2 linked regions of the Macaca fascicularis genome follow. The protein of the gene in region 1 purifies or fractionates together with the protein of each later gene. This does not show direct contact. Links are inferred from orthologs where the notes say so. Each region holds a gene or a part of one and is shown on either strand. Other genes may lie near its edges.

Region 1 (8,094 bases):
TCATCTGTGTCTGGCCCACACTAGGCACTTAGGAATGGGCTGCCACTAAGTAGGCACCTTAAGTGGACACCCTGCACTATGGTTCATGGCAGCCCAGCCTATCAAAGTTTATTGATGGAATGAATCTGTAGAACTTTTCCATAACTGGATAAGGGTATCACAACAGAAGGGACAGAACAAGCAAAAGCAGGGAAGCCCGAAAGTGCAGAACTTCTCAGTAGAAAGGGCAAATAGCTTTATGCCACAGGCAGTACATCTCAGAGAGGAGTTCCACAGCCATCAGCTTTAGTGTCGTCCAGAATGTGGTCAACATACATGCACTCTTCCTCAGACCTTCTCATCCAGAATCTCTGCAGAAGGAGTTCAAGAATCTGGGTGTCTCAAGGAAACTCTAGGAACACAAAATTTGGAGAGGCACAGGACCAGCTGACAAAGGGAGTGGTGAACTATAAAGAGATAACAGTGGCCTGATTGGGTTGGGGCTAGGACAAGAATTCATTTCTTCATTCAGTATTCATTCTTTCTTTCAATAAGTATAGATTGATCCCAGATAGCATTCAGGTACATATGTGCACAAGGTAGACATGCTCCCTGTTTCTTTGTCACAGTCTAGTGGAAAGACAGTCATTAAATAAGCAAAGAAATAAATACCTAATATAGTTTCAGGTTATGATTAGTGCTTTGCAGGGAAAAAAAAAAAAAACAGGAGAGGGGTTAAAGACTGGAGAAGGTTATTTGGATGGAATGGTCTGGGAAGCCCTCTATTGAGGATGGTAGGAGTGAGGGATGGAGCCTCTAGAAATGAAGAAGCAAGACACGTAGATATTTGGGAAAAGAGCATTCCAGGAAGAGGAATGCAAAGGCCTAAACAGAACACATGAAAGAGGGAAAGTGGTTGGGAAGCTAGATGCTGGAGGATCAGACCAGGGTGGAAGCAGTGAAGGTGATGGGAAGTGGTCAGATTCATAATATATTTTGAGAGTGGAGTCAACTAGCTTTGCTGTTGGACCAGATGTAGCTGTGAGAGAAGGGGAGCCAAGGTCATTGCAGGTATAAAGGGGATGGGAGGACAGTTGAAGGAGATTGAATCAGAGAGGTACAGGACTGGCAGGGCTGGGGCAGGAGGTGGCAGACCACATGCAGGTTCCTGCAGACCACGGGGAGGACTTTACTTTTCCATTGAGCGTGATGGGAACCCTGTGAGATTTTGAGCCGAGGGATGTGATCTGACTTGTTTTCTTTTTTGTTTTTGTTTCTTTTTTGAGACGGAGTATCGCTCTGTTGCCCAGGCTGAAGTGCAATGGTGAGATCTTGGCTCATCGCAACCTGCACCTCCCGGGTTCCATCGATTCTCACGCCTCAGCCTCCTGAGTACCTGGGACTAAAGGCGTGCGCCACCACGCCCAGCTAATTTTTGTATTTTTAGTAGAGACAGGGTTTCACCATGTTGGCCAGGCTGGTCTCAAACTCCTGACCTCAAGTGATCCACCTGCCTCGGCCTCCCAACGTGATGGGATTACAGGCGTGAGCCGCCACACCCGGCGGATCTGACCTGTTTTCTAACAGAATCTCTCTGGTTGCGAAGTGCAGTACAGAGAGAGACAGGAATGGAATGGGGCAGTTCCGAGGCTGATGCCAGGCGTCCAACTGAAAGATGACAGGAGCTTGGACCAGGTTGGTGACTGGGATGGGGAAACTAAATTTATTTGGGTAAAAACAATAAGTGGATTTCATGAAACTTGTTGACGTAATGGGTGGTAAAAATCATAAAGGGGGTAGTCAAACAAATGATTGAAATTTGGTAATGGGTCAGGAGCTTCAGCTCTGCGGGCAGCAGTTGTGTCTTCTTGGAAAAATGGTTTCAACTCTCAGCCGTTTTGTCATCTGCAAAATGGGGATAATAATGGTACATCATAGAGTTGTTGAGAAGGTGATGTAAAGGTTTTAGTACAGGATGTAGCACACAATAAACACTTAATAAATGTTATCTTAGAAGCCAGACTGCTAGGTTCCTGTAACCATCTCAGTCATTCACCGGCTGGCTGTTGTCACCTTGGTCAAATTAGCCCTCTGTGCCTCAGTTTCCTCATCTGTGCAATGAGGCACATTAATCGTTAATATCAACTGCATAGAGTTGGGTTGTGAAGATTAAATAAATGAATACAAGTAAAGCATTTAGAATAATGTGGCCGGTAGTAAGCACTGCGTACGTATTAACGATTATTAAGAATGTATTTTAGCCACATTTCCCAGCCCCTTCCCCGGCCTAGCATAACCCATTTTGTGCATGGGAAGTCTAGCTTTCAGCAAGGTGGCCTCTTGGAGGGCGCTGTGCTTGCGTGAAGCGATCCTGTCGGCCGCGGCGAAGACCCAGGTTCCGGCTTTGAGGGGCCTCGCCCCGCGCGGTCCCTGGCGGAACCTTTTACTTCTGCGCTCGCGTTGCCAGCCCGGCGCGCCTCACGCAGTTGCGCCCGCTCCTGGGGCTACTTCCGGCGGCCCCGCCCCGCCCCGCCCCCGGGCGTCTCCATCTTGGTCTCAGGTGTAGACTCTGCCAGAGCTAGCGCAGGAGTGAAGCGGAGTTATAGCTACGTCGGCCGCGGAGCTGGCTCACTGCACTACCCCCTCCCCCTTCTCTCCTCCAGACGCCGAAGTCGCTGGCGCTCATGGCGGGCCTGGAGGTACTGTTCGCATCGGCAGCGCCGGCCATCACCTGCACGCAGGACGCGCTCGTCTGCTTCTTGCATTGGGAAATGGTGACACACGGCTACTACGGCTTGGGTGTCGGTGACCAGGTACGCCACGGAGCCGGCCAGGGTGGAGGAGGGAACTGTCTTCTGTCCAAACTCAGAGGCCCGGAGGCCTGGTCCAGAGCGCCCGATTTCCCCGCCTTTCCCAATGCAGGGCCTGGGGCACATGACAGCGTTGGTAAAACCTGCGGGTCGGAGGTTGCTCACCTGCTCCAACCCAGCCCAGAGTCCCTCACAGCACAGCTGGCACAACATGATTTGTAAACTCAAGGGCAGAAACTCGCTTCAACACAGCCTGGCAGCCTCTCAGGCCAGGACTGTGTGGACCTAGCATTCCATAGAATGGAAAAGAATCCAGACGAGTTTAGCTCCCCAGAGCACTCCTCACCCACCTAATCTCCTCTGAATTCCTTCCCACCCAGCCTCGGGGTGAGGGGACTGACTCAGTTCCCCCCTCATACCACACTAGAGCCTCCACCAAACATCTGGATCCAAGCACAGGTACGGGAGTGAGCTTTGACCTACTCAGCCCCAGGCCACGGCCCTTTTTTCACCCCTTAGCATGGGCCCAGAGAGTTCACATGCCTTTCACGCTTTACTGAAGGGCCCAGCGTAGTCCACTCGCTACTGCCATCCCCAGCTCAAGCTCTAGGAAACAGTCCCCCCTAGAATCGTATACACATACAGCCTGGATGTGAGAGTCATATAAGATTTTCTCCTCATAGCTGTCCCCATAGGGCCAGCCCCCTCCACTCCCATCCCCAGGCTCCACCTCTTACACCTAGGGACGTTGTTGTCATCCCCACCGAGTTCCAGGACCGCTGGGCCCAACCCACCTCACTAATTCTTTGCTCTAGCATTCTTCTGTCTTTGCTGTCTCTTCCCTGTGACCCTCACCCCCACATCCACATCATCCTAGACATCTGCTTGCTGGGACAACTGGGCCTGCCTCCATGCGTGCCCCTCACTGTCACTGTTCTCTCACTCTCAGAACCAAGACCAGCCATGGGAAACAGACCACCCCGTCACCCTTCCTCTCCTTTTTGACTGCTTCAGTCCTCAACTCCTCTAATCATTTTTTTTAGCTTCTCAAATAGAGTCTTAATTCTCCTCTCCTGACACAGCTTTAGGGACCTGTCTTCAAACTTGTTTTGTACATTCTGAGCACTTAGGCAAGTATCCCCTTTCCCCTCCCCCTCACTGCTGTCCCTATTCCTCTCTGTCTCTTAGAACTAAAGACCAAGACCACGATACCCCTCTCACACTTTACCTCCTTCAGCAGGAACCAGAGCCTAAGAACTGTCAGGGATTTCTGGCTCTTCCCCTGCCCGCCCCCGACCTCAGTTATCTCACTGGGACCCCAGGTACACACTCAGGATCCCCATTCCCACCTCCAAACTCACACATACTTCATCTCTCAAATGGGCTCTATGACTGGAGATGAGGATGGAAAAGAACAGCCAGCCTTTCACACACACACACCTGGAAGCAGGAACCATTTCACCTTCCCAAACACATCTGTCCCTGTCCTTTCTCTTTGTGCTGCCCTTCATTCCACATACCTTCCAAATGCCTTTCAGCATTTCAGACCTTAGTACCAGGTAGAGACACATTTCAGTGTCAGGCTCCTGTTTCAGTGCATAGTCCCCCTAACAGAAATCTTGTCTCCCCACTTGTCCTACTCCAGCTTTTTAATCTTGAGCAGCTCTTCACTTGCCCCAGTCATTTTATTTCAGCTTTTCGTAGATTCTTCAAAGAAACTGATATCTGGGATGGTGCAGGGGACAGTGGGGCTGAGAAGAGGAGTAAGATTTGATTTTGACCTGGGAGCTCCTCCATTGGCCCTCAGCTCTCTTGTCCTTCAGATGGAACAGCTGTGCTCTGCACTGTCCCTTCTCATGTACCTCACTCCCCTTACATACCCCTAACTAGCTACTTCTACTCTGCCACACTGTCAGAACCCTGTCCACCTCTGCTCCGGAACTTGTTCTAGAGGGTGTGCCTGATGCCCTTCTCTTCTTGCCATTCCACAAATAAATATCAATCGCTGTGAATCTGCTCCCACCATTCTTACCCTCACTCATCCTGTTGAATCACTTTGACAGTTTGGGAACATCAGTTCACATAAGTCGACACCTTCTTTTAGCTGGCATTATCACCTTTCCATACACTCAAGGCTGCAAAATTTTCGGATGAAATGTACAGAAAGAATACAATCTCATTTTAATACTGTTTTTTTCTGTTGTTGTTGTTGTTGTTGTTGTTTTTCCAAAAAAAAGGCCTTGACCAATTCCCCAAGGTCCATCTGATTTTTCTCTGTTCATGGTGCTATTTTTTGAGCTTCTGCAGGCCAGAAAAAGATGCTGGTTTCAGAAATCTTTGGGGAGGCCCAGGACCCTGGGGAATGGGGTTTTTGTAAGGCATTGCCACCTTTCTTCCTGAATCTTGCATGCTCTTGAAGGAATGGGTGTTTGGATTGCAAACTAGAGCGTGGTGTATTTTTGCTTCTCTCTGCCTTTTCTCCTTGATTGCCAGTGGGGCTCAGGTTGCACTTGTCCTCCTGTCACTTCTGCTGAGTCTACTTTCATTCAGAGTGGAAGCTGGAGAGGCATCTTTCCTGTTAGTTTATTTAAAAGGAGGTTTAATTTTTCAGCCTGGGGCCAGCCAACTCAGCTGACTCGATTGTATTTTCCAAGCTCAGAGGATATTTGTGTTGCCTCTCCTGCCATCTCCTGTTTCCACCCTTCTGGGGGTGATAACGAGAGGAAGGTCCAAGAGTGTATGCTTGACTACACAAGTTGACAGTTAAATGGAAAGCTAGATTGTCTGCTTTCTCTTAGGTTTTACCTCCTCTGTTATAGGGGAATTGTGTACGTAAAACTTGATTAGAAGACCAATGCAGCCACTGGCTTCAACAAAAATCCAATCTTAGAATTTGGATTTCTTTCTTGATGTCAGAACCACTCCTTGCAAGAACTTTACAGCTTTGCCAAGTGGTTTAGGTGGCAAGGGGATAGGTAAGGGATGACTTAGGTGGTCATCGACATAAGTTAGATAATTTTGTTTTCTGTTGTGGAGAATGTAAGGATTGTGATGAAAGAGAGAAAATGCCCAAAATGATCTGTTTAAGTTTCTTTGGGTGCATGTTAGCTCAGAGGCATTGGGTCAAACTCATGACCATTAAAGAACGCTTCCAGTGCCAGGATTTTACCTAGGAAGACAGTTATCTTTATTCTTTTAGGGCCATCTTATGGACCTGGCTGGGGAAAACCTTCTCTAGCCATGGCCTGGGGCAATCAGGAGCTCTGAATTCCAAGTACAACCCTACAGCTGACTTGCTGAGACCTTGGTCAGCTCTCTGACCCTCTCAGGCCTTAGAATTGTCTTTCTTTTTTTTTTTCAAGGTGGAGTCTCACTCTCAGGCTAGAGGGCAGTGGTGCAATCTTGGCTCACTGCAACCTCTGCCTCCTGAGTTTAAGCAATTCTCCTGCCTCAGCCTCCCCAGTAGCTGGGATTATAGGTCCCCGCCACCATGCCTGGCTAATTTTATTTTGTATTTTTAATAGAGACGGGGTTTCACCATGTTGTCCAGGCTGGTCTCGAACTCCTGACTTCCAGTGATCTGCCTGCCTCTGCCTCCCAAAGGGGTGGGATTACAGGCATGAGCCACTGCACTCAGCCTCAGGCCTTTGATTTTTCATCAGAGGGAGTTAAACCATGTGACTGTGTACTTAGGCTGCTTTCCAACTGTGGCTTTCTGGGACTCTTGATATTTGATGTCAGGGTTTACAGGGCAGTTGCATGCCATGTTTGACCTGATATCCCCAGGGTCTGTCCTCTGTTTACTGGGAAACATCAGTTGCACAGCAGTTAGAGACAGCAGTTTCACCTGACTTCAGGGATTTTCTGTAACTCTGGAAGCCAAAGGTGATGGGGAGGTGAGCAGACCAAATTGTTTATATTCCAAGAGAGAACTGTGGTGGTTTGAATGCTGTACATGGAGGATATAATATAAATTTAAAGGCCTTTGACAGAGCAAAGATGAGGATGTCATCAAATTTCTGGCTTCCAAAGTAGACAAATCCATAATGCTAAGCACTAAACATATTTGGGAAAGTTACCCAGTTTGGGGTGAGGGGATAGTTTCTCTTTCTCAGAAGAGTGGTTTGATTAGTTTCATTTTTGTTTTTCCTCACTCTCATTTCTGTGCTTCAGGCCTGTGAATTTCATCCTCATCCAGCCAGGTTTTAAACCATGCCAGCTGTGACATCCTCAATTTTATTTGTTTCTGAGCACCAGGGGTGACCAAAGAGGACAGGCCGGCAGTTCTCAATGTGTGGTCTCCCCTTGTCCTTGGTGTGTGAAGTTTTGCTTTGCTGGACCTTTGTCTTTTCCATTTTCTTCATCTCCGCTCCCACTCCCTCCCGCTGTATTCTCATTGACTGCAGATCTTCCCAGTCCACCTGACCCATGGTGAGCAATATAAATACACATCCATGAAAAAAGATTCTAACTTTTTTTTGTGCTTTTTAAAATTTTTACATAAAGGTACTGGAGTGTAAACCTCATTTTGGGGGGAACTTTCCTTTAAATCATATTTTTTATTTTATATATAATACTATCATTAGATCTGGTTTGTTCCTTCTGACTGCTAAATAGTATTCCACTGTAAGCATATTTTGCATTTTATCTCCACTTTGGCTACCTTAGCCAAGGCTATAATGAAGATCCTTTGTTATGGACCCTGTGCACAGGGTTTCTTCTGGGAGTAGGGATTTTAAATTATAGGATATTGGCTTACCTAATTGCACTAAAAACTGCCAGATTGCTCCCCAAAAGGGCTGTACGAGTTTAAATGCCCACCAGCAGGGACTAGAGGTTCCCATTCTCCCCACACCTACACAGACATCTGGCAAAAAGTAGAAAACTGGGTAATAACAGTCCGAATCGTATAACTTAGTGTCTCATTATTTCAGTTCTGCTTCTCTGATTGCTAGTAAAATTGAATAACTCTTTAGATACTATTAACCACTCTTTTTCTTGTTCGTATCTTTTGCCACTTTTTGGAGTTGCCAGTTGTTATTGTTCATTTTCCAGGCATTCCCTTTATGTAGAGGTTATTAATTTCTTTCCTTTGCAGCCATAGCAAATGTGTCTTCCTAGCCTGTGGCTGCTTATTAACTTAGTAGTGTCTCTGTTGAACAGAAGCTTTCAGTTACAAACAATGTCAAAGGCAGCATTTTTTTTCTTTTATGAATCTTGTTTAAGAAATCTTCCCCACCTGGAAATCACTATATTATTTTTCCTGTAGAAATAATTTGAGAACTATTTCTCAAACTTTAGTATG
Region 2 (7,560 bases), on another chromosome or scaffold:
TGATTCTAATTAAACAACTAGGTTGAAATAAAGTATAACTCTAAAAGGCCAGTTTAAGACTTGTGTTTAGCTACCAAATCCATGGAACCAGATCTGTTAAGTGTGACCATCTCGTGGCTTCTAGAAATAGTTGTGTATTATGTAGAGAATACTTAACTGTGAGTGATACCTAGGTGTTACTGTCTTAGGCCATGTCTGTGTTCTAAAACCACCCCCCCCCACTTGAAATATATGCTGCTGTTTGGTTTTTAACAAACACATACATGTTCTTAATAACATTACCATTCAGTATGTGCTTGTTACAGATTTTGTGCCAGAGAGTTTTATAGGAATTACTTCACTTAATTACAACAATGCTTTGAAATAGGTACAGGACCCCTGTAGGGGATGGTGATTTCAGGACTCCCACAAATACCAAGTCAAGGCGTACTCAAGTTCTATAGTCAGCCCTGTGGAATCCACTGATACGGAAAACCAGTTGTGGTTACTGTGTGCTCATTTTACAGGTGAGAAAATAAGCACAGAAAACTTAGGGTGAAAAGAAGCAACAGTAATACCACTGCTCCGTGTGGCAGACAAAAACCAAAGAGAAAGTAGTGCTTCAGTAGGAGTATGTTCTAATTGCCTTGTAAACTTGGTTTCGTTCGTTTTTTCTTTTCTTTTCTCTTTTTTTTTTTTTTTTTTTGAGATGAGGTTTCGGTCTTGTTGCCCAGGCTGGAGTGCAATGGTGTGATCTCGGCTCACTGCTACCTCCACCTCCTGGATTCAAGCGATTCTTCTGCCTCAGCCTCCCAAGTAGCTGGGATTACAGGCGTGCACCACTATACCCAGCTAATTTTTGTATATTTAGTAGAGACAGGGTTTCACCATGTTAGTCAGGCTGGTCTTGAACTCCTGACCTCAGGTAATCCACCCACCTCAGCCTTCCCAAGTGCTGGGATTACAGGCTTGAGTCATTGTGCCCAGCTGTAAACTTGGTTTCTGTGCCACTTCATGATAGAGGTCAAAGGCCAGCTACTCCCTGGGGTTGGATAAATTGGATTTGACCTGAATGTCTGTACTATCTCAGAGATGTTCTTACAATAAATATTGGATGATATGTGAACTTAACAAATACCTGTGTTTCTTTTAAGCCCGTCTGGTAAACTTGTCCAGATTGAATATGCTTTGGCTGCTGTAGCTGGAGGAGCCCCGTCAGTGGGAATTAAAGGTAATTAAATGCTTCATTCATTTCAGATGCCTGTTAGTAGTTATCTTGATTATTTTGGAATTAATTAGTAGTTAATTTATACAGAGCTGCAGTAGTATAATTTTTAATAATTTTTTGTTAATTTACAGTGTTTTGGAGTTTAAATAGTAATAAGTCTAAGGTCATTCAAATTTCTTTTCAAAGTAAATAATAACACCTTTATCTGTTAGCTGTAATATTCACAGTAGTCTTTCTCATTCAGAAAACTCTTTTTTTTTTTTTTCCCACTGATTATATCACTACTTGCTGGCAGTTTTTATCCTTATAATTTAGGAAAGTTTAATTATAAAACATAAGCTAAATATGTTGTGTTTCACTTTAAAAGGCTGTATCATTTATTGTAAATTTCATGTTATGAGACTATTGCGACAAGTAGGCAGAAATCCATTATTTTAAAACGTGAACTCTCAGGTATCTTTAGAGTGCTTACAAAAGGTTATGTAATACCTATAGCTGTAGGGACGATTTTTTTGTGTAGTACTAATGACCAGTGAGGGAAAAATGGACTTACCATTTCTTAGGTAATTTTGGTAATAGGACTCCGGAAGAAAAGGTTTTATAAATTAAAGGAAATAAAGGACTTTTGAGTTTAGTGCATCCATAATAGAAAGCTGTTAAAACAGTCTTATAAATGATTAAACATTTAGGTCTCTCTCTTTTTTTTAAGCTGCAAATGGTGTGGTATTAGCAACTGAGAAAAAACAGAAATCCATTCTGTATGATGAGCGAAGTGTACACAAAGTGGAACCAATTACCAAGCATATAGGTTTGGTGTACAGTGGCATGGGCCCCGATTACAGGTACTTTATACTTTTTATAGTGTTTCTCACCATCTCATGAATTGATTGTAATCTGTATTTTCAGGAGAAAAACCAATGTTGTTTTCCTTTTATCTTCCGATTCCTCTTTTTTTGTGTGCTTTGTTTAGCAATAGCAGCCTCATTGAGAGCTGAATTTAGTTTGCCTGTGTAGGTTACTTTAAAGAGAATAACTCAGATGTGAAAGAGGAGGTAGATAGATTACATAACTCCTCTTTTCTCTGTTTAGTGGACTTTCCCTTCTGACATATTCCTCTTCTACTACCCAGGAACTGGGCATAAGGGCTTTAGTTTTCGCCAGTGCAGTTTAAAAATGATAAGAGCAATTTATGTTATAATAAACTATATTCTAAAAAGTATGAGGCAACAAAAGAAAGCATCGCCATCCAGAGTTAACCTTACCTCTTTTCCTGTTCTTCACAAAGGAACAAAATTCTCAAACACCACTGCAAGTTACTGAGTGTGGCAGCCAACCAGGATCCCAGTGCTCATATAATCACCCCCTTTATATTTCACAGGAAGAGAGAATAATCTTGTTACTCAGGGTACCAGCCAAGTTGAAAGAGATTGACAGCTTTCTGTGTCTGTCATTTAAACAAGTAAAAGGAATATTACTTTATTGCTCATGATTTTGTGGAGCAAGATAGGTAGACACAAAGTTTCACTTCAGTTTCACTCCTATTTCACATCTGAGTTGTTCTCTTTAAAGTAACCCAGGGTCTTCCCCAGGCAGGTCTCAAAGTCCTGGCCTCAAGTGATCTTCCTGCCTCAGCCTTTTAAAGTGTTGGTATTACAGGTGTGAAACACTGCACCCAGCTGAATTTTACATTTTTAGTTACAAGTAGTTTCTTACTGTTTCTTAATCTCTGAAGGGTACTCTTTGAAGCACAGGCAGAGAGATTAAAACAGTCTGCAGGAAGTAGTGACCTGAAGTGAGAAAAATATGCCCAGAATTGTGTGCCTGTGAGCTTATGTGTGCTTGTATGCACGTGTGGACTGGGGTGAGCTATAAAAAGACAAGTGGCTGCCCTTGGATAAGGGGGACAATCTTGAAGAAGCCATGGAGTGAGATAAAATTCTCATTTTTGTACATTAAATCTGTTACTTTTAAGCTAACTGGTACTCTATGATGCTTCGATATTTTCTTCTATATCAACTGGAATCCAATGTTAGAGTAAGACTAGCTTTGATCCAGCAGCCACCATTAAAGCAATACATGTTAAACTGGTGCTGCAGGTACGTGCCTGTAAAAGAAGAATGAGTCTTTGGGTAGTAGAGCATCTTCCTTGTAATTAAATCTTATTTTTTCCTTCTTAGAGTGCTTGTGCACAGAGCTCGAAAGCTAGCTCAACAGTACTATCTTGTGTACCAAGAACCCATTCCTACGGCTCAGCTAGTACAGAGAGTAGCTTCTGTGATGCAAGAATATACTCAGTCAGGGTAAGTTGCTTTTTTTACTTGAAATGTGCCATGAATTGTAGGGGGAAGTCATTTTAAAGAGTAGATGTATACATAGAATGGGACTTACCATTCCTATATTTGCCTAACAAGTGGACAAAATCACTATGATGAATATTTCTGATCTTATCTAGATCTAGAATATTTACTTAAGGAAAAAAATGTGTTTTCTTGTTGCTCATATAACAGCAGAAAGCAGCTTCTAGATATAAAAAGTTCTTTTCCCAGTGATTAAAACACTTTTTGGGCAGAAATTCATTGCTACTTTTATTTATTTTTATTTTTTTCTTTTTGAGTCAGAGTCTCACTCTGTTACCCAGGCTGGAGTGCAATGGCATGATCCTGGCTCACTGCAACCTCTGCCTCCTGGGATCAAGTGATGCTCATGCCTTAGCCTCCCCAGTAGCTGGCACCACAGGCATGCATCACCATGCCCAGCTAATTTTTTTTTTTTTTTGTATTTTTTTGGTAGGGATGTGGTTTTACTATGTTGGCCAGACTGGTTTCAAACTCCTGACCTCAAGTGATCTGCCTGTCTTGGCCTCCCAAAGTGTTGGTACTGCACCTGGCCTCTACTTTCAAATTTATGTTTCTAACCAGAAATGATTGTAAGCACATGATGAAAGCAGCTCTTTGACACATTCATATTTCTTTTCATTCCCCAGCTTCTTTGGGTGTGGATGAGATAGCATATAGGTAGTTGTTGATATGTAAACCTAGTGGAAGAGCTGCATTAACTGAAAATTGTCATTTTGTAATAGGTAAACCTAGTGGAAAAGCTGCATCAATTGAAAGTTGTCATTTTGTGACAAGTAAACCTAGTGAAAAAGCTGCATTAATTAAAAGTTGTTATTTTGTTAGGACACTAAATGTTACTCCACACTTATTAACCCCAGTGTCTTAGGTGACACTCTATTCAATCCAAATTTTTTTTTTTTGGCTACTATTCCTCACTACTGTAAAGAGAATTAGTTTTGAATTGATTCATTCAGAAAGGTGTTAAATACTTTTTAGGGAACTTACAAGTCTAATTCAGTTTGCCTGATAATTTGCTTTATTTGAGAATACTGATAAATTCTTGAGGATGACTTTCATGAAAATGCCAAGTAATTTTCATTTTCCTGTCTGCAGTGGTGTTCGTCCATTTGGAGTTTCTTTACTTATTTGTGGTTGGAATGAGGGACGACCATATTTATTTCAGTCAGATCCATCTGTAAGTATCAGTAGATGTATTTGAGGGATTTGTCTTTAAAAGTGCTCTTTGAATATCTAACAGAAATAGAAGCCATAAAAACTTTACAATTTAGCAGTATTTTCTTCTTTTTCACCTGGGCTTTAGAAGGTATGAGGTCATGCATTTTTGTGTGTATATTTAAAATTTTGGTAATTTGGTCTTCTGATAAGGAAGCTGTATTAGTTCTACCCTCTTTTCTTCTGCCATGTTTACTTCATACACTTGGGTGATTTGTTGAAATAGTTGTTATCAAATGTATTTAAACCTGTAACTTTGGGAAATATTGCAATTGAAGATGTGGATCTGGAGGACGGTGTTGTGGTGTTTGCCGTCAGTTGAATCTTGGGGTTGACTTGAGTGACTTTTCCAGCAAAAACATTAATCTGTCTTGAATTCAGTGTTTTGCAAGAATGATTGTGAAATTGGTACCTTGGGTGAGTTGTCTGCTGTAATGCAGAAGAATGGTATCTGAATAGAAGGGATTTGTAAAGGATAATACTACTCCACATCTGTCCCATTTGCTATGAGAACCTTAAGACAAAATTCAAGATTAGGAAATTACCTTTCATGTTTTATGGATTATTAGATAATTAGAAGTTTACTCAATGCAGACCTTATGATCTACTCTTAAAACCTGAGATGGCAAAAGAAAAATATTTTGGTTGTTACTTAAATCAGAAAAAATAAGTATTTGGGGGAACTTTGATAGTGCTGTTACTCCATCTCTGAGTTTCCAAAGCTAAGTGACAAGCCCTCTTATCTTCCTTTTCAGAAGGTAGCGGAAGCCACCATTTCTGGAATCCAGATTTCTTCTTTTGTCCTATTTTCCTCTGTTGTATCTAAAAAACAATTGTTTTCATTTAAAACATAATGGATTATGTTTCTTTTGGTATTTTTTCTGATGAGATGCTCTCTTTTTAATTTATTCACTAATGATCAAGAGTTGGTCACCATTTTTCAGATTTATATGAGAGACTTAAATCGCTTCAGTCTGTGACGCTAAAATACTACTCTTGATTATTTGTTTAAGTTAACCTCAATTTCTTTTAACTGGCTTTGTTACATAATTTATGTACACTTAATTGCATCATCACCAGCTTCATCAGTTTGATGAGTTCTGATATATGTAAATGTCTGAAGAAACCATTACTACAATGAGGATATCAAAAATGTCCAGAACCTCCAAAAGTGTCTCCATGCCTCTTTGGTTTCCATCCTTCTAGCCTTCTTAAAAAAAATAACCTATTCTGTGATGTTTTCCATTCTAATAATATTCTGTGACCTTCAAAGTTAGAGAACAATTAATAAAGCTAAAAATTAAATGGCAGGGCAATATAATTGTATTTGTGTTTTAAAATATGGTTCTTTACTCTTTCTATCCTGATTAGGGAGCTTACTTTGCCTGGAAAGCTACAGCAATGGGAAAGAACTATGTGAATGGGAAAACTTTCCTTGAGAAAAGGTAGGCTCACTCACTGTAACTACATTCATTAGCAAACTCACTTTATGGTTTTTGGTGCTCTTTAAGTAATTAATATCATGGGACTAAAGAAAATTGCTGTATTACTCTGTATATTAATCTAGTTACAGATAAATCAAAAACTTATCTCCCTCCTAGTTTCCTAGTCTTCAGTATATCGAGTGGTAATTAATATTCATTTCCTAAGGAGTTGTCTTTTTACATTCTATGGTTTCCTAAATGCTTTTTTGTTTTGTTTTGTTTTACTTTTTACTTCACTTTTTCTGCCATTTTAGGAGGGAGAAAAAGAACATTGAATCTGGAATAAAAAATTTGGGGAGACAGATTTTTAAATGATTTAATGATAATAGTTTACATTATGACAGTAAAAAAAATTGTGAAACCAAATGCCTGGAGTTGAAGGTATATTAAATATTTGGTATGTGTGCTTGATAAAAAGTGGAGCACTATGTAAAAATCTGTCGGTGCCCAAGTACAAGCTGCCCTCACTTATTTCCAGCTGTATTCTAGTCTCAGTGTTACTGTAGTCCTTCAAAACTCTCCAAGCTTTTGAAGAGGAAAATGTTTTATTTCTTGATATGTAATAGTTGCGCATATTTTTGCAGTATATGTGATATTTTAATACCTGTATACAGTGTGTCAAATCAGGGTAATTGGATATCCGTTACCTCAAACATCTATCTTTTCTTTGTGTTGGGAGCATTGCACATCTTCTAGCTGTTCTGAAATAGGGAGAAGAAAAATAATTTCCTGAGTGTACTATTGGACACCAGAACTTATTCCTCCTATCTGACTGCATTTTTATACCCCTTCACCAACTTCCTTCATTTCTTCTTCCCGTCTCCCTTTCCAGCCTCTGGTAACCACTGTGCTACTCTCTCCCTCCATGAGATCCACTTTTTTTAGCTCCCACATATGAGTGAGAACATGCAATATTCATCTTTCTATGCCTGGCTTGTTTTACTTAACATAATGACCTCCATTTCCATCCATGTTGCTGCAAATGACAGGATTTCATTTTTTCATGGCTGAATAATAATAAAAAATTTTGTAACTCCGTTTAACAGAGGAGCCTTCACAGTACATTTTTCATGTAATGTTAAGGTTATTAAAAATCTTAGGCCTGGGTTTAAATGGTAAATTTAATCTTAGGCTCTTAAGGTACTTTTTCATTTTTCTTTTTTATATTAATGAGTCTTCCAAATATTTCACATTGTTATTACATGATATGTTTTGTTTTATTTTTGTTTCAGAGGCATTTTATTTAGACAACTAAAAATAATTAGATGTTCAGAACCAGTGTACAATGAAAGAGAAATTA

Evidence for each region. Proteins that work in one complex are often made in the same cells at the same time.
Region 2: the proteins of PSMF1 (region 1) and PSMA2 purify together in Homo sapiens (affinity purification with mass spectrometry; 3 studies listed by BioGRID and IntAct, with this or other methods). This does not show direct contact. The link is inferred for Macaca fascicularis from reciprocal best matches to the Homo sapiens genes PSMF1 and PSMA2.

Annotation. Positions count from the first base shown.
Region 1 is NC_088384.1:86,261,358-86,269,451, reverse strand, and holds the start of PSMF1 (proteasome inhibitor PI31 subunit), read left to right. Parts: upstream 1-2,516; 5' UTR 2,517-2,663; coding exon 2,664-2,792; intron 2,793-8,094. UniProt on the Homo sapiens protein: Plays an important role in control of proteasome function. Inhibits the hydrolysis of protein and peptide substrates by the 20S proteasome. Also inhibits the activation of the proteasome by the proteasome regulatory proteins PA700 and PA28.
Region 2 is NC_088377.1:87,361,124-87,368,683, forward strand, and holds part of PSMA2 (proteasome subunit alpha type-2), read left to right. Parts: intron 1-1,133; coding exon 1,134-1,210; intron 1,211-1,916; coding exon 1,917-2,049; intron 2,050-3,384; coding exon 3,385-3,507; intron 3,508-4,656; coding exon 4,657-4,738; intron 4,739-6,147; coding exon 6,148-6,221; intron 6,222-7,560.